2 linked regions of the Lonchura striata genome follow. The protein of the gene in region 2 purifies or fractionates together with the protein of the main gene of each other region. This does not show direct contact. Links are inferred from orthologs where the notes say so. Each region holds a gene or a part of one and is shown on either strand. Other genes may lie near its edges.

Region 1 (6,887 bases), on a different chromosome or scaffold from region 2:
TGTGTCTCCACCAGAAGCAGAAGGTGGGAGGGATGAGGATAAGACAGTTTGGGGGGAGGAAAAGCACGATTTCCTTTTGTAAAGAGCGTACCCATGTGAAAAACTGCTAACTTCACCTCAGCAGGGAAAAAAAAAAACAAACACCCTAAAAAGTGTTTTTCTGTCCTTGGAGATCCAGCACAGGCTGACACCAGGCTGCCAAGGCACTTTATGTGATGAAGGAAGTCTTACAGATGCTTTAAAATTAGTATATTAAAATAAAATGCCATTTTAATTTAAAATACTGCACTATATAGTTAATCCTACATAGTAATGTAATCTTATATAATAATGTTTACTTTTCTGAAAGTGTATTTTGAAAAATAATTACAAGTTGGGAGTGAAAAATGGCCAGTAAAGATACAGCTGTACTGAATTAAGTTGGGCATTTCCCACTTGTTTACTGACCCTGCACCTTTTAGCACAACTAAAAGCGGCAAGTTAAAGAGAAACATGAGGTGTTATGTCATCTTTAAGCTACACTTTAACACATAGACCAGGTTTAGATTCCTCTAGACAGCGTGGGAGACTGAAAATCCACGCACAGCTGGAGATGCCTTTGATAATTTGTTTAAAATAGAGCTGACACAACTAATTTTGCCCCATTTCAGTGGTCCAAATAAATAGGTTTCTTCAGGGATGTAACTTCTATCTAAGCACATGTGCTATTCACACAAATAACGTGAACCCAGGCCAGGAAAAGGCAGAAAAACCAGGATTTAGTTAAGCGGACATAAACACCATCCTACTTTTAAAGCTACCTGAACTCCACTAGGTCCTGCTAGCAAAAAAAACCCTACAAACCTTAAAGTAGTTTCTAGGGATGTACACGAGCCTGAAGAATTTTTAAAAAGGGATGAAATACCAGCGTAAGCGTCTGCCAAGTTCACAGCACGGGAGGACGAGCAGAAGGATCCGGCTCGCTATAAAAATCGCAGGAAAATTAATGAGTGCACGAGGAGCTCTCGGGTTTCCCTGCATCCACGCGTCGCTCCAACAGGTCCTTCCGGAGAGCTGCGCTACGGAGCCGGAGAGCGGCGAGAAGCCACGGGGGAGCCCGCGGCCGTGCCGGAGCGGGACGGCGGCGGGGGGGCGGCCCGGCACGGCGCTCTCACGGCAACTCCGCGGGAAGTTGGGCGGGCCCCGGGACCGGGAGCACCGCGCCCCCCCCGCCGGCTCTCGGAACGCCCCCCCGGGCGGGCGGGAGCCCCGGCGGCGGCTCCGGCGCGCGGTGCGGCCGGTACCGGGGCCGTGCGATGCGGGCGAGCGCTGCCGGGGGCGGTCCCGCCGCAGCCCGGGAGCGGCACCGGGCGGAGGGCGGGCGGAGGGGCGGGGGGAGGAGGCGGCGCCCGGCTCGCAGCGCGCCCAGCGGCCGCCGCACGCTCCGCCCGCCGCTCCCGCCATGCCGGGGCCGGGACACCCCGGCGGGGCGGGGCGGGGCGGGAGGACGCGCGGCCGCCCGCGCGGGCCGGGGCTCCCCGGGGAGCCGCGCCGCGGGCACCGACCGGCCCCCCCCCAACCCCGCGCCGCCGCCGCACCGGCGCCGGGCCCCGCCCCCTACGGATCGCCGGAGGGGGCCGGCCCCGGGCCCGGCGGCCTCCCGTCCCCGCCGCCCCGCTCTTCCTTACCTCGAAGCTGCTCCTGGCAGCGGCCGCGTCTCCCTCAGGGTCCGGGGGTGGCGGGCACCTCCCGGGCGGGCGGCGGGGGCGGGCTGTCCCCGGCGCAGTGAGAAGGGGGGGTCCCCGCGCCCCTCCTCCCGGAGGGGGGGGGCGGGCGGGGGCGGCGCCGGTGCCCCGGCGGGGGCGGGGGGCTCGGCGGGGGGGGTAAGATGGAGTAACCGTCTGTCGGCCGCCGCGGCGGAGCGCTGCCCGCTTCTCTGTTCCCCGGGAAATCCCGCCCCTCCTCGCGCAGGGGGGGAGCCCCGAGCGCCCGTTGGCTGGGACGCGCGCCCGTCACTCTCTCGGCCAATGGGAGCGCTGGCCCCGCCCACCAGGCCCTCCCCTATTGGCCGCGGCCCCCAGGAAGGGGATGTGGAGAGGAAGGGAGGGAGGAGAGGAGGGGGGGGAGCGACCGCCGAAGAAAAATGTCCGTATAAGCAGCGCGCCCCGCCCCCGTCCCGCCTCCCGCGCCGCCCTATTGGCTGCGACACCGGAGCGCCGGCCAATTGGCGAGCGGGGCCGCGCCGCCGTCACGCCGAGAAGCCCACCCACGCGGCGAATTGGCCCTGCCCGCCACCGGCGAGGCCACGCCCCCCTCTCTGGGGAGCCCTTTTGTGGAATGTTTACATCGCGGCCGCGGCCCGCGCCAGCGGCTGCCCCCGTCAGCCCCCCCACCGGCCCCGGGCCCCGCCGCCAACCGCTTCGGCGGCGGGAGTGGCGGGGGGGACTTGGCGGCGGGGCTCGGTCCCGGGGGCGGCGCGGCGCTGCCTTTTGTCCCCGACCCCTTCACTTCCGGGATGGCGGCGCCCCACGTGGGGCGGGTCGGTTACACGTGCGGGCGGGGAGCACACGGCACACGCACACACGGGCTCCCGCACACGCCCCGCACACTCGCACACGCTCACACTCACGCACGCACGCACCGAGGAGGAGGAGGGGGGGGACCGTGGGCAGTGCGCGCCGCGGGGGGCGGCGCCCTCAGCGGCTGCAGCCAATGGCGTGCCAGGAAGGGGGCGTGGCCACCGCGGCAATGGCCCCCGCCCTCCCCCCGCGCACACACACTCAGTCACTCGCCTCCCCCCCCGCCCGCTCCCGCCGCCGTCGCGCGCTTCCCGCCGGCGGGATCCGCAGCGCGCGCGCGCTTCTCTCCCCTCCACCCCCCCCGCCGCCTTTCCCTCAGGTTCCCGCCCGGCCGCCGGCCCGGCGCTCGGGAAGCGATCCCCGTGAAGGGGGGCGAAACTGGGAAAGTGCGTGTGGGGGAAGCAGCTGTTACATACCCTCAGCGCGCAGGCGAGCAGCCCTGAATGGAGGGGGAACTCCCCCCGGGGCGGATTGGCCCCGCGGCGCCGATCGTCACGGCCGCGCCGCCCACGGCGGGAGGGGGGCCGCGGGCAGGGGTGTGAGGGAAAGGCCGCTCGGCGGAGGGCGGGGGGAGCCGAGCCGGCCGGTGCCCCCGCGGCGGCAGCCGGCGTTCCCCTCCGCTGGAACGCGAGATGGAGGTGGGGGTCAGTGCCGTCAGTCATCGTGTTTCTCTCCCTTTGCAAAGTTGCGGAGGGGGTTGCCGGCTTCCCCAGACGGAGGCTGCGGGAGCCAGGCCTGGCCGCCCGTCAGTGCTCATCTGGGCGTCTGGAGCGTGCTCGGGAAAGGGTGAAATACAAACACACATATTGCACGCTTCTATTCAAGTGTGTGTTTCGAGCACCTTCTTCACTCAGAGAAGGTCTAAATCTAGTTGTTTTTTGTTCTTCTTTCCAGCTGTTCTTCCCTCTCTCAGGCTGGGAGAGCGTTGCAGGAGCAGGCAGAGGGCTGCTGCCGGGACAAGCCGGCACAGCAGAGGAGCTCTCCGCAGCTGGGAGCTGCAGCTCGGATTAACCCCTGGAAGGGCTCTCGACACCGGGCTCTGAGCCTGCACGGGCTGCAGTGCCACTGGAGATCGAGCCTGAACCTTGGAAATCGGAGGCAAGGAAGCAGAAGGGCTGGGAAATTAAGAGCTCTGGAGCTAGGCTCTTTCCAAACTCCCAGGGCGCAAAATTACAAGCACTAAAGTAATCGTCATTAGCGAGGTGGCGTGCATGCAGCCAAGAAAGCCAAATGAGACAGGTGGGCACAGCGATGGCAGCGCCGCTTTAGGATTGCCCTGCAATGCCTTTAAATCCCTGTTTCCAAACTCCAGCGAAACTTGGGATTTTGTTCCTGGAATTGCCTGTGCTGTTACTTTTGCCCGTGGTGGCTGATCCCTATCTCTGGGCCACTTCAGGGAAGGGGAGATCCTCCAGGCATCAGGCTGCTTGCACTCAACAGCCCATTTTTCCCACCGCTTTCCAAACAATACAAAGTTTTTCTTTCCAGAAACTTTTGGCTGTCTGTGTGATGTGACCATTTCCAGAGAAATCCTTATTGCTACTGCTGAGTAGGACCTGCTGGCATGGACAGAATGGATGGAACAAAACATCATGTTGTGCAAGCGGACTGAAAATGCTGGCTTTGAGAAGAAAGGCAGCCCTGGAAATAGTAAGGGAGGGTGTGTTTGGGTTGTTTTCCCATGGAAAAGGTTTACAACCTTTTCCTCCGCCTCCAGCACAGATGGGATCTTCATCACTCCTCAAAGGGAGCAGCATATCCGAGCTGTTCCCATTCAGAGGCAGCGCTGGTTATCTCCCTCCCTCTCCTCTGGTTATTCCTACTCGACACCCAGGACGTGAATCTTGGAAACATTTTGCTTCTCTGTGCCCACATCACGTGGAATTGAGCTAGAATGCACAACCACCTTGACCGTGTGCTCAGAGCGGGCTTCGTTGGGATTTCACAGCCAGTGGAAGAGAGACATGAGCTGGGCACATTCGTGGAGCCACGTAGGACACTTGGCATCACCTGCAGCTTTCAGATCTGGACCCAACACATTGCCAAAAGCCCCGCTGAGCTACAGAGAGCTGCTGCTGACAGCACAGGATTAACAATAAACTGCTAACACTCCCCTCCTGCATGTGTGCCGAGAAGAAAGCCCAGCTGGGTGAAAAAGTTTGGCAGTGAGGAGGTAGGGCCACAGGAGCCTTCCTTCAGAGGATGAGAGCTCTCTTAGAGGAGCCACCCTGCAATAGGTGCCTGGAGGGAAACTCTGGGGCAGCCTGAGCCACAGGAGCAGAGCAAACTGCCTGGGCTGATGCTGCTCCAGGAGAGAGCTGGGTGGAAAAAAGTACCTGGAAGGATGGGACATGGCAGCTGAACCAGAACCACTCTGCAGGCAGGATGTGCACAGCTCCAGGACTGCTCCCAACACCCACCTCTCGTGCACTCCTGTGCAGCCCTTCCAGACGGATTCCCTGCTGCCTCTGGTTCTTTTCCAGCCTTGCAGTGCTTGTGTCTGACCTCAGTTTGGCACAGCCAAGCCAGTCCACCCCCAGAGCACAGGGGAAAGCTTCTCCCTGTGCTAGTCCTAGAAAGACACTGGCATCCCTCACGTTTTTAGGCTCCAGCTGAACAAACACAGGTGCGGCTCTTCACACCCGCCAGCTGCCCTGCTCTGGGGCATGAGCTCTCTCGCTGGCTCTAGGGCTTCATTTGCACAAGCTGCCTTTTTTATTCCCTCATCCCTAAGCCTCAGGCTGCGCCTGCTGCTCTGGGACTGGCATTGCTTGCACCTGAAGGCACTGGTGCTGCCTGACAGCCCAGGAGTTCCCCCTAATTTTTGTGCCCTATTTGCCTGCTCAGAGGGGATTCAGAAGCACAGAGGCGATGTCTGCACCCCCAAATCCTGCAGCAAAAGGCAGCAGCAGGCAGATACCATGGCCAGACAGAGACTGATGTCCTAAGGCTTGTCAAGGCCCTGGGAAGAGGCAGGAGCTTGGAGCAGGGTGGCTTGTGTCGCCCCTGGGTACACCAGCTCATTGTGCTGCCTTCCCTCCTGACACTATCCGGCCCGCCCAGGAAAGCTTCCTGCAGCCTGGTTATCTCTGTCTCAGCCTCACCCAGGCCAGAATAAGCCCTAAGCACAGCCCTGTGCTCCTCAAAGTTCACAGGTAGCCAGGGATGGGGCCAGCTGAATTTAGAGATCACAGCCTGTGCAAAACCCTGAATTCCCTCCTTCTGTCCTGCCCAATGCCCCCACAACAGCAAAGAGGACTGGTCACTGGTGGTATATTTATATATCAATACAAATAAAAACAAAACAACTCCCAAAAAAGTAACAACAACAAAAAGGTCTCTCTGAGAGCAAAATAGGAACATTTACAAATACTTCTGGCTCCGGCTTGGATCAAGTTAATGTTAAATACAAAAAAAACCAAAAAAAAAAAGCCAACCCCCCCCCCCCAAAAAAAACCCCAAAAAAACAAACAAAAAAAAATCCCTAAAGAAAACAAAACAAAACCAAACCTCCCAAACCCTGTGCCCTCCTCCCCCAAGATTATAAAAAAATAAGAATATACACATTCAAAGAGCTTATTACAGTATAAAGTTGGGGAGGCCCTGGCAGTGGCAGGGGTTGGGGCCGGGGCAGAGGCTCGCTGCCTCTCCAGGGTTTGGGGTTTACTCTTGCTCAGCGCTTTCCCAGCCCATGACTCAACGCAGGGCTGGGCCCGCGGGTTCCCAGCGGCAGCTTGGGAAAGCCGGGCAACCTGGAGAGCCGGTCGGTCCCCACGGCCCCGTCACCTCGTACCTAGTGACTCCCTCAGCGGCACCCAAGGGGCAGGGGATGCCTGCCAGCTCGGCACCCCCCGGCAACCCAATCTTCCAGATCTTCCCAGGAGCACAGCTGCTACCTCTCCATGGGGAAGATGAGACAAAGAAACGGGGGACACTATCAAGTATCCTTGTGCCTCCGGCGGGATGGGCACAGGAGTGGGTACTGGGTCCCAACGTTGCCCATGAGGGGAAATAAGGAGAAGGGGGAAGACAAAACAGAGCCAGGACCAAACTCACCGCTCCAGAGGTCACAGCAGTGAGGTGGCAGGACAGCGGGGACCCTTGGGAGCTGCTAAAGGGGAGGTCGTATATATGTATCTATATAATAGGCAGGGGGTCACAGCGGGGGTATATTATATACACACATACATACAGACACACAGATGGAGCCTCAGGTGAGACCGAAGCACGTGCCTCTTCCTCAGCCCCAGGACTGGGAATACATTTCCTAGGACTTTGCAAAGCCCCTCTCTAGGTACATCTTAGGTGGTCCCGACAACAACAAAAAAA
Region 2 (7,006 bases):
TATTTCATAATGGTAGTGTGTACTTTCTCTTAAAATGACCAGCGAAGCATAATATCATCAAGGGCCTTTTTTTATACAGTGCTTGCAGATATGTTGATGCCTAATCACCAAGGCTCACTCTGCCATTCTTACTCAAAGTGCTCCAAGAAACCTACAACAGCCATGGTGACATCCCCGTCAAATCCAATAACCTGTCTTTCACACCTAAATTTAACAAAAGCCTCTACATTTGCTAAACCAGAGAGAGCAAAAAAACAAACTCAACATGCCCACCTCCTGACTCTGTGCACACATACAGCACAGGCTATGACAAAGGGACACCTGAGCAAGCCTGTCTTTTCCAGCCAAGTTAAAGCACTGCAGGGATGTGACATCCACGCGTTGGGCATATTTATTTGTGTTCATGCTTTTCTTACCAGTGTCGATAGATAGTCCTTTGGTAATTCAGCCGCAGCCTCGGCATGCATTGTGAAATCCCCAGAATCCGAGAAGGGCGTGAGGGGCCTTATCTTTAATATGTCACCTTTCTGTGATCTTTGACCCCAGGAGCTCATACAAACAAGGGCTTCAACAGCTTCAATGTCGTTCTGCTCCAAGGTGCTGCAGGTGGACCTTTCACTGTCATGACGCTGCCGTTCACGGATGGACTCATAGATGTCCACGATGTCAACCTGCGTGTAATCAGATTACTGGCTGTTAGGACAAGTCAGAATACAAAACTGACACCACCCACACACAGTCTGCTCACAATGAAGGTCAACTGAAACAGATCCCATGCCCGTGGCAAGACTTTTACCAACTGGCTCATCTCTCACTGTCCCCTGAGCTTGTCTTCACATTCCCTTCTCTTAAAAAAAAAAAAAAAAAAGAAGACATGTGATTTTCCAGGAAAATAACAGATGTGCATGGCTCGCATTTCCACGCTTACTTTCCTGGATGACACTGGTCTGAACAAACACACCCCTTGTATGCTTGCATACAAGCATAAAAGAGGAAAATCCTGACTTTGAACCTTGTTTAGACAAGGCTGTTTCCTGAATCCAAAAGACTATTCAGCACTAATCTCATTCTGGAAATAAGATAAATTTCAGCTGCTGGTAAGATGCTTTAAGGTATGATCATTGCCTTGGAGTACTGCACATCACAAAGTATTTTTAATAGAGAAGCCAGGATAGGGAAAAGATAGAAGGAAAATGGTCTTCAAAGTGCAGTGAGAACTGTTTGCATTGTACTTCAGAAAGGCCTGATGCTACATAGGTATCTAAACCTAGCCTGATGCTAGGTATCTAAAGCACACTAAGAGTAAAACAAAGACAAATGTAATCATACTGATTTGTTTCCAATTACAAGCATCAGAGAATATCTGTGTGGGCATGTGTACGCATGCAAAACACTTGACTTCTGTGCACAAGGATATCTAAACTTCACAAAGCTCTCACAGTGTTTCGCAGTGACTCCAAAAGCTATGCTAGGTTAATGTGTTATTACTGACATGCCAGCTCAGTCTCAGCTAGGCATCCAGGCTCCTCCAGTCTTTAGACACACCAACTAATTTGAAGGCTGAGATTCAGAAGTGTGGACCAAGCCTCTTGAGCCTATTGCTGTTTCACAGAATGTTTATGTACTGCAGGAAAAAGATTTTACTCTAAAGGCAACACCACACCATTAGCATGGCCTCAAGCCCTAGAAGGAATTCTACTCATTGGTTGACAACCTGTACACTAAGTCAATGGGTTTTGTTACTGAGTTAAGTAATGTGAGATGATCCTTATTGAACAGTGTCACAAAGATATAAAGCTGTATTTACACTCTAGGGATGTGCAGGCAAACATGCTAAACATAATGGATCAAAAATATTAGTACTGCACTCACAAAAGACCTTCACCTAAAACATGAGGTACCAGGCACGGAGATGTCATGATTCGGGGGCCGGAAGGGGTAAAAGCGATTAACACCTTGGAGACAGACTTCTAAGAATTGCCACTGAAAAACAATGAGAGGAAAACACGATGTGTGCCTGCAAGCCTGGACCTCACCCGCCTGTCACACCGGGCCAGGCCAGGCGGGGCTCTGGCTCTGAGCAGTCTGCCAGTGCTCCTCTAAGCGCGCCTGCAAGCAGCCGAGCACACAGGTTTATTTTTTCCAACCCTACGTTTCAGGCGAGCAGCTTTCCCTAGAGAAACCTTAAAAAAAATGTGCCTCCCTTCCTCAAAACACACTCCGAAATTTTAAAAAAAACCACCCTGACAGAAAAAGCTCTTTCTGCAGACGAGCGCTGCAGCGCGGGCTCCCCGGCTGCTGCCAGGGAAATGGCCAACCGCGCCTGTCCTCGCATCACCCCGCCGGGAACTACGTGCGGGCGGCCGGCGGGACGGGGACGGGCGGGACGGGGACGGGCAGGGAGCGTGGCGGGCAGGGAGATGCGGCAGCGCGGGTCGCTCCGGGCAGGGAGGAGCGGGCACTGCGGGCAGTGCCGGGGGCAGCGCGGGTCCCGCCGCGGGGCAGCGCCTCCCCCGCCGCAGCGGCCCCCGCCCGCTCCCCGCGGCCGGGCGGTGCCACCGAAAGGAGGAGGAGAAGGGGGCGGCGGGCAGCTCCCACCCTGCCGCCGCCGCCCCCGCACGGTCGCTGAAGGAGGGCCGCCCCCCTTCCCTGCAGGTGAACGCTCCCTTCCGAGGGCTCTGCCCTGGCACAGCCGCCCAGGACCCGCTGCCCAACCAAGCCGCCCCCCGCCGGGTGGGCAGCGGCCCCCGCCGAGGCGGCGGCGGTCCCCGCACTCCGCCCGGCGCCGAGCACGTGCCCGGGCTGCACCGGCGCTGGCCATCCCCACCGCCCCTCTTCCCGCCCTCCCTCCGCGCGCCCGGTGCTCACCGCGGGCGCATCTCCCATGTCCGAGCAGGGCGAGCCGTGCATGGCGCGGCTCGGGCGGGCGGCGTGGGCAGCGCTGTTCCCGGGAGCGGCACGGCGGGAGCGGCAGCGGCGCGCACACAGCGGCGGGAGCGGCACCCGGCGGCGCCGCCTCCTCCCGGCCCCGCCCGCCGGGAGCGGCGCGGCCGCGCGCCGAGGGAGCGCTCCGAGCGCAGCCTGCGCCAAACCGCGCGGAAGGGACGGCGCCGGCCAATCAGCGCCCGCCGCGGCCCGCGCCCGGCCAATGAGCGGCGGCGGGCGGCGTGATCGCGGCGTGCCGGCGGGAAGGGCGGCGCGTGGGCACGGCCGGCGGGAAGGCGGGGAGGGGGCGGGGCCGGCAGGGGCGGGGCAGCGCGCGCTGGAAACTGGGGGAAAGGTCGGGGGCGGGCGGCGGCCGGGAATGCCCGCGCGCGGGGGGGCGGGGCCGCCGCTTTCCCCTCCCCCCGCGGTGCGTGCGGCGCGGCACGAGCGCTCCCGCCAACCGCCGCCGTTCCCGCCGCTCCCCGCCTCCCGCCGCTCCCCGGCTCCCGCCGCTCCCCGGCTCCCGCCGCTCCCCGGTTCCCGCCGCTCCCCGCCTCCCGCCGCTCCCCGGTTCCCGCCGCTCCCCGGTTCCCGCCGCTCCCCGCCTCCCGCCGCTCCCCGGTTCCCGCCGCTCCCCGGCTCCCGCCGCTCCCCGCCTCCCGCCGCTCCCCGGTTCCCGCCGCTCCCCGCCTCCCGCCGCTCCCCGGTTCCCGCCGCTCCCCGCCTCCCGCCGCTCCCCGGTTCCCGCCGCTCCCCGCCTCCCGCCGCTCCCCGGCTCCCGCCGCTCCCCGCCTCCCGCCGCTCCCCGGTTCCCGCCGCTCCCCGCCTCCCGCCGCTCCCCGGTTCCCGCCGCTCCCCGGTTCCCGCCGCCGGCTTCCCGGCTGGAAGAGCGCCCTGTCCCCGCCGCGCCCGTCGAGGTCCTGCCTGCCACATAGGATAGGGAAGGGGTCGGGTGCCTGCCCGGCCACGGCACTGCTTTGCCGGATGAAGGATTTGGGATTACAAATAGCCCTAAATCCCCTCCCAAAATCCATGAAGGGTCAGTGTTATGGATCATTGGATCCGTTGGTGTTGGAAGGTCTCCCCTGGGCCAGCCCAGCATGTAGCTCTTAAAAGCCTTCAAGTCACAACTTGTATTCTATTAAAGATGTTCTTCGGTTTTTCCTGTCCCCAGCTGTTGTCATTTTCCAGTGGCAGCCGAAGTGTATTGGCCCTGTGATTCCCAGCAGGATTTGTGGTTGTACTGAGCAGCACCAAGAGCTGCTGTCGGAGCTGCGAGGGGACAGGACGGACCCGGCTCCGCGGGCAGGGCTCAGCCGTGTCCCGGGACAGGACGGACCCGGGTCTGCAGGGAAGGCTCGGAGATGTGTCCCGGGACAGGACGGACCCGGCTCCGCGGGCAGGGCTCAGCCGTGTCCCGGGACAGGACGGACCTGGGTCTGCAGGGAAGGCTCGGAGATGTGTCCCGGGACAGGACGGACCCGGCTCCGCGGGCAGGGCTCAGCCGTGTCCCGGGACAGGACGGACCCGGCTCCGCGGGCAGGGCTCAGCCGTGTCCCGGGACAGGACGGACCCGGCTCCGCGGGCAGGGCTCAGCCGTGTCCCGGGACAGGACGGACCCGGCTCCGCGGGCAGGGCTCAGCCGTGTCCCGGGACAGGACGGACCCGGCTCCGCGGGCAGGGCTCAGCCGTGTCCCGGGACAGGACGGACCCGGCTCCGCGGGCAGGGCTTAGCTGTGTCCCGGGACAGGACGGACCCGGCTCCGCGGGCCTCTGATGGCTGCTGGCTTTGCCAGCGCTATCCTGACCCACCCTGCCCCTTCGCTTAGGCCTCCTTGACACAGAATAAGGATAGCAAAAGCATTTTATCCTGCTGAATTATCTCTATTTGTTCCTTCCCTGGTTTCTCAAGACGTTACAACCTCAAGTGTCCACACAGATAATCATCTTGAATCTATGGGCATCTTCTGCTGTCAGCTTCATTTTGCCACTGGGATTTATTTTTTCCATTATAGCTGTTCCAAATCCCATCCTTCTCTGCTGTCCATGTAGTTTCTAAGCTTCACTGCACTGTGCTCATCCCTGCTCTCCATTAATAGACGTTTCACATCCTTCAGCTTTCCCAGCACTAGCACATCCCAGCCCATCAAACCACAAGTTCAAAGGGTCTCCCTGGCCAGCTCTTTGTGCAATGCATATGTTACCAGCAGCTTTCTCTCTCAGTATTTGCATGAGACTTGCTGTGCTGGAGCCCTGGCCTCTGCTGTGTGATGGTGAGGAAAATGCTGATAATTCAAACTGCAAATCAAGTTCTAACATTAAAGAGTTTTGTTTGCAAAAGGGAATCAGTTGTGTGCCAGAGAATGAAAAAAGTTTGTTAAAATGCCATTGGTGACTAAAAAGCATAGTTAAGGCAGCAGAGTGGGGACATGGGGTTTGTGCCTAGCAATTGCATGGATCCTTTTCAAGAAAACGTTCAGGGAATTGTAAAACTAGGAAACTACTGATCTATTTTGCAAGTTTTCCTGTTCTACTGTAGTTGGGAAGTGACTTGTGGTTTTCTCCTTGCTGCTTGTTGTAACACTTGCAGTTCCTGCTCAAAGCACTCGCACAGACTTAGTCATTGACAGCAGAGACTTCTAATTGAGTAGCAGCATCTGAAGGCAGCACAGCAGCCTTGCCAGGGAAGAAGCAGTCACATGGAAGTAGAGTGGAATCATTTCTCCTGACTCCCAACAGGGTGTTTCCCATGTCACACAGCACAGGCTGTGCCTACGTGTTCCAAGTTCCCCAGGAGTCCTCGCTACGGCTCGTGGATGCAAGACCACGGACCACTTAAAAGAAGTGATGTTACAGGTCTGTTCTCCTTGTGCTACAGGGAAAATGTGCTTGATTATGTTTGCCTTGCTGAGCTAAAAATGGCAACTAAAGTTTTTTAAATAAATCCGTGGAACTCTTACCAAAGTCACTTAAGTTTGCCTTTGTCTGCTGCTGCCAGCTGAGGCAGTGTTAGATGAGGAAGGACCACCTTCACCCTCACATCGAATATCAGGGCTCTGAACCCCACAGAGCCTGAGCTCCCAGCCCTGGCAGCCTTAGAGCTTCTCCCTCTCTCCCTACTCCTACTTCTCCCTGCTTTCTTTCCCTTCCCAAGGCTGCACCAAGGTGAATAATAAAACAGTTAACATTATCCTGCTTCTTTATACTTGTGCCTATACCCACTGGTTTCCCCATGGGTTTCACCAAGCAGTGCAGCTGCCTAAGCAACGCCCGAGTGAGCTCCTTGGGATGATCCATGCTGGCTGCAGTTTCCCTCCTGGGAGGCAGCAACCTGGAACAAAGCCAGGTACCTCAGTACTCCATTCCAAAGAGCAGCCTGCCCATGCCGGTGTCCCTGCCCTGCCTGGCTGGGGCAAGGTCGTGTCCCTCCCAGCAGAGCCTTCCTGCACCAGCCCCCTCCTCCAGTGCTGCTGCTGCTGCAGTGTTCTCTGGATCGGGCTCTCCGAGGAGCTGTGGTTTTATAAAGGCCTGTTCAACTCACATCCTGGCAAACACTTCAGAGAAAAGCTTTCTTTGTTGGAGAGAGACAATGCCTTTGTTCCAAGGTAGGAAGGAGCAAATGTAAGTGGCTGCAGTGAAGGGTTGAGAAGGCTCTGCTCTGGTTATCTTATCCTTTTGGCTGGGATGACAAGAAAGAATCAAACATCCTGTGTGAGTAGCAGGGAAAATAATTAATACTGGAGACTGGAAACAACAAAAGGTCATGCAGGCAGCTCTCCCCCATTCCCTTTTTGTAGCTAATTATGCCATAAAATGTTCAAAAGAGACTGAAGGGAGAATATTATGGGCTCAGACAGTTTTCCTAATATTTAACCACTAGTTAAAAATAGACCAAAGTAGTTGTCTGGGGTGCAGCTCTACAGTTACTGCATTTTGGCAGCAGCATCTGGTCTGGCTGCATACAGCAGCAGGCTACTTTAGCAAGCACGCAGAGCCCAGCAAATGGCTAAATAAATACAGATATCTGTCTAAATAAATATAGATAATTACAATCAGAGCTGCCATGCAGGGGCCGTGAGAA

What was found. The genes of interacting proteins can lie anywhere in the genome.
Region 1: the proteins of KLF11 (region 2) and SIN3A purify together in Homo sapiens (affinity purification with western blotting, with the first as the bait; 3 studies listed by BioGRID). This does not show direct contact. The link is inferred for Lonchura striata from reciprocal best matches to the Homo sapiens genes KLF11 and SIN3A.

Annotation. Positions count from the first base shown.
Region 1 is NC_134613.1:5,632,189-5,639,075, reverse strand, and holds the start of SIN3A (paired amphipathic helix protein Sin3a), read right to left. Parts: upstream 3,019-6,887; 5' UTR 2,975-3,018; intron 1,745-2,974; exon of another isoform or gene 1,668-1,744; intron 1,142-1,667; exon of another isoform or gene 905-1,141; intron 1-904. UniProt on the Homo sapiens protein: Acts as a transcriptional repressor. Corepressor for REST. Interacts with MXI1 to repress MYC responsive genes and antagonize MYC oncogenic activities. Also interacts with MXD1-MAX heterodimers to repress transcription by tethering SIN3A to DNA.
Region 2 is NC_134605.1:99,041,339-99,048,344, reverse strand, and holds the start of KLF11 (Krueppel-like factor 11), read right to left. Parts: upstream 3,006-7,006; 5' UTR 2,911-3,005; coding exon 2,869-2,910; intron 2,005-2,868; exon of another isoform or gene 1,886-2,004; intron 672-1,885; coding exon 417-671; intron 1-416. UniProt on the Homo sapiens protein: Transcription factor. Activates the epsilon- and gamma-globin gene promoters and, to a much lower degree, the beta-globin gene and represses promoters containing SP1-like binding inhibiting cell growth.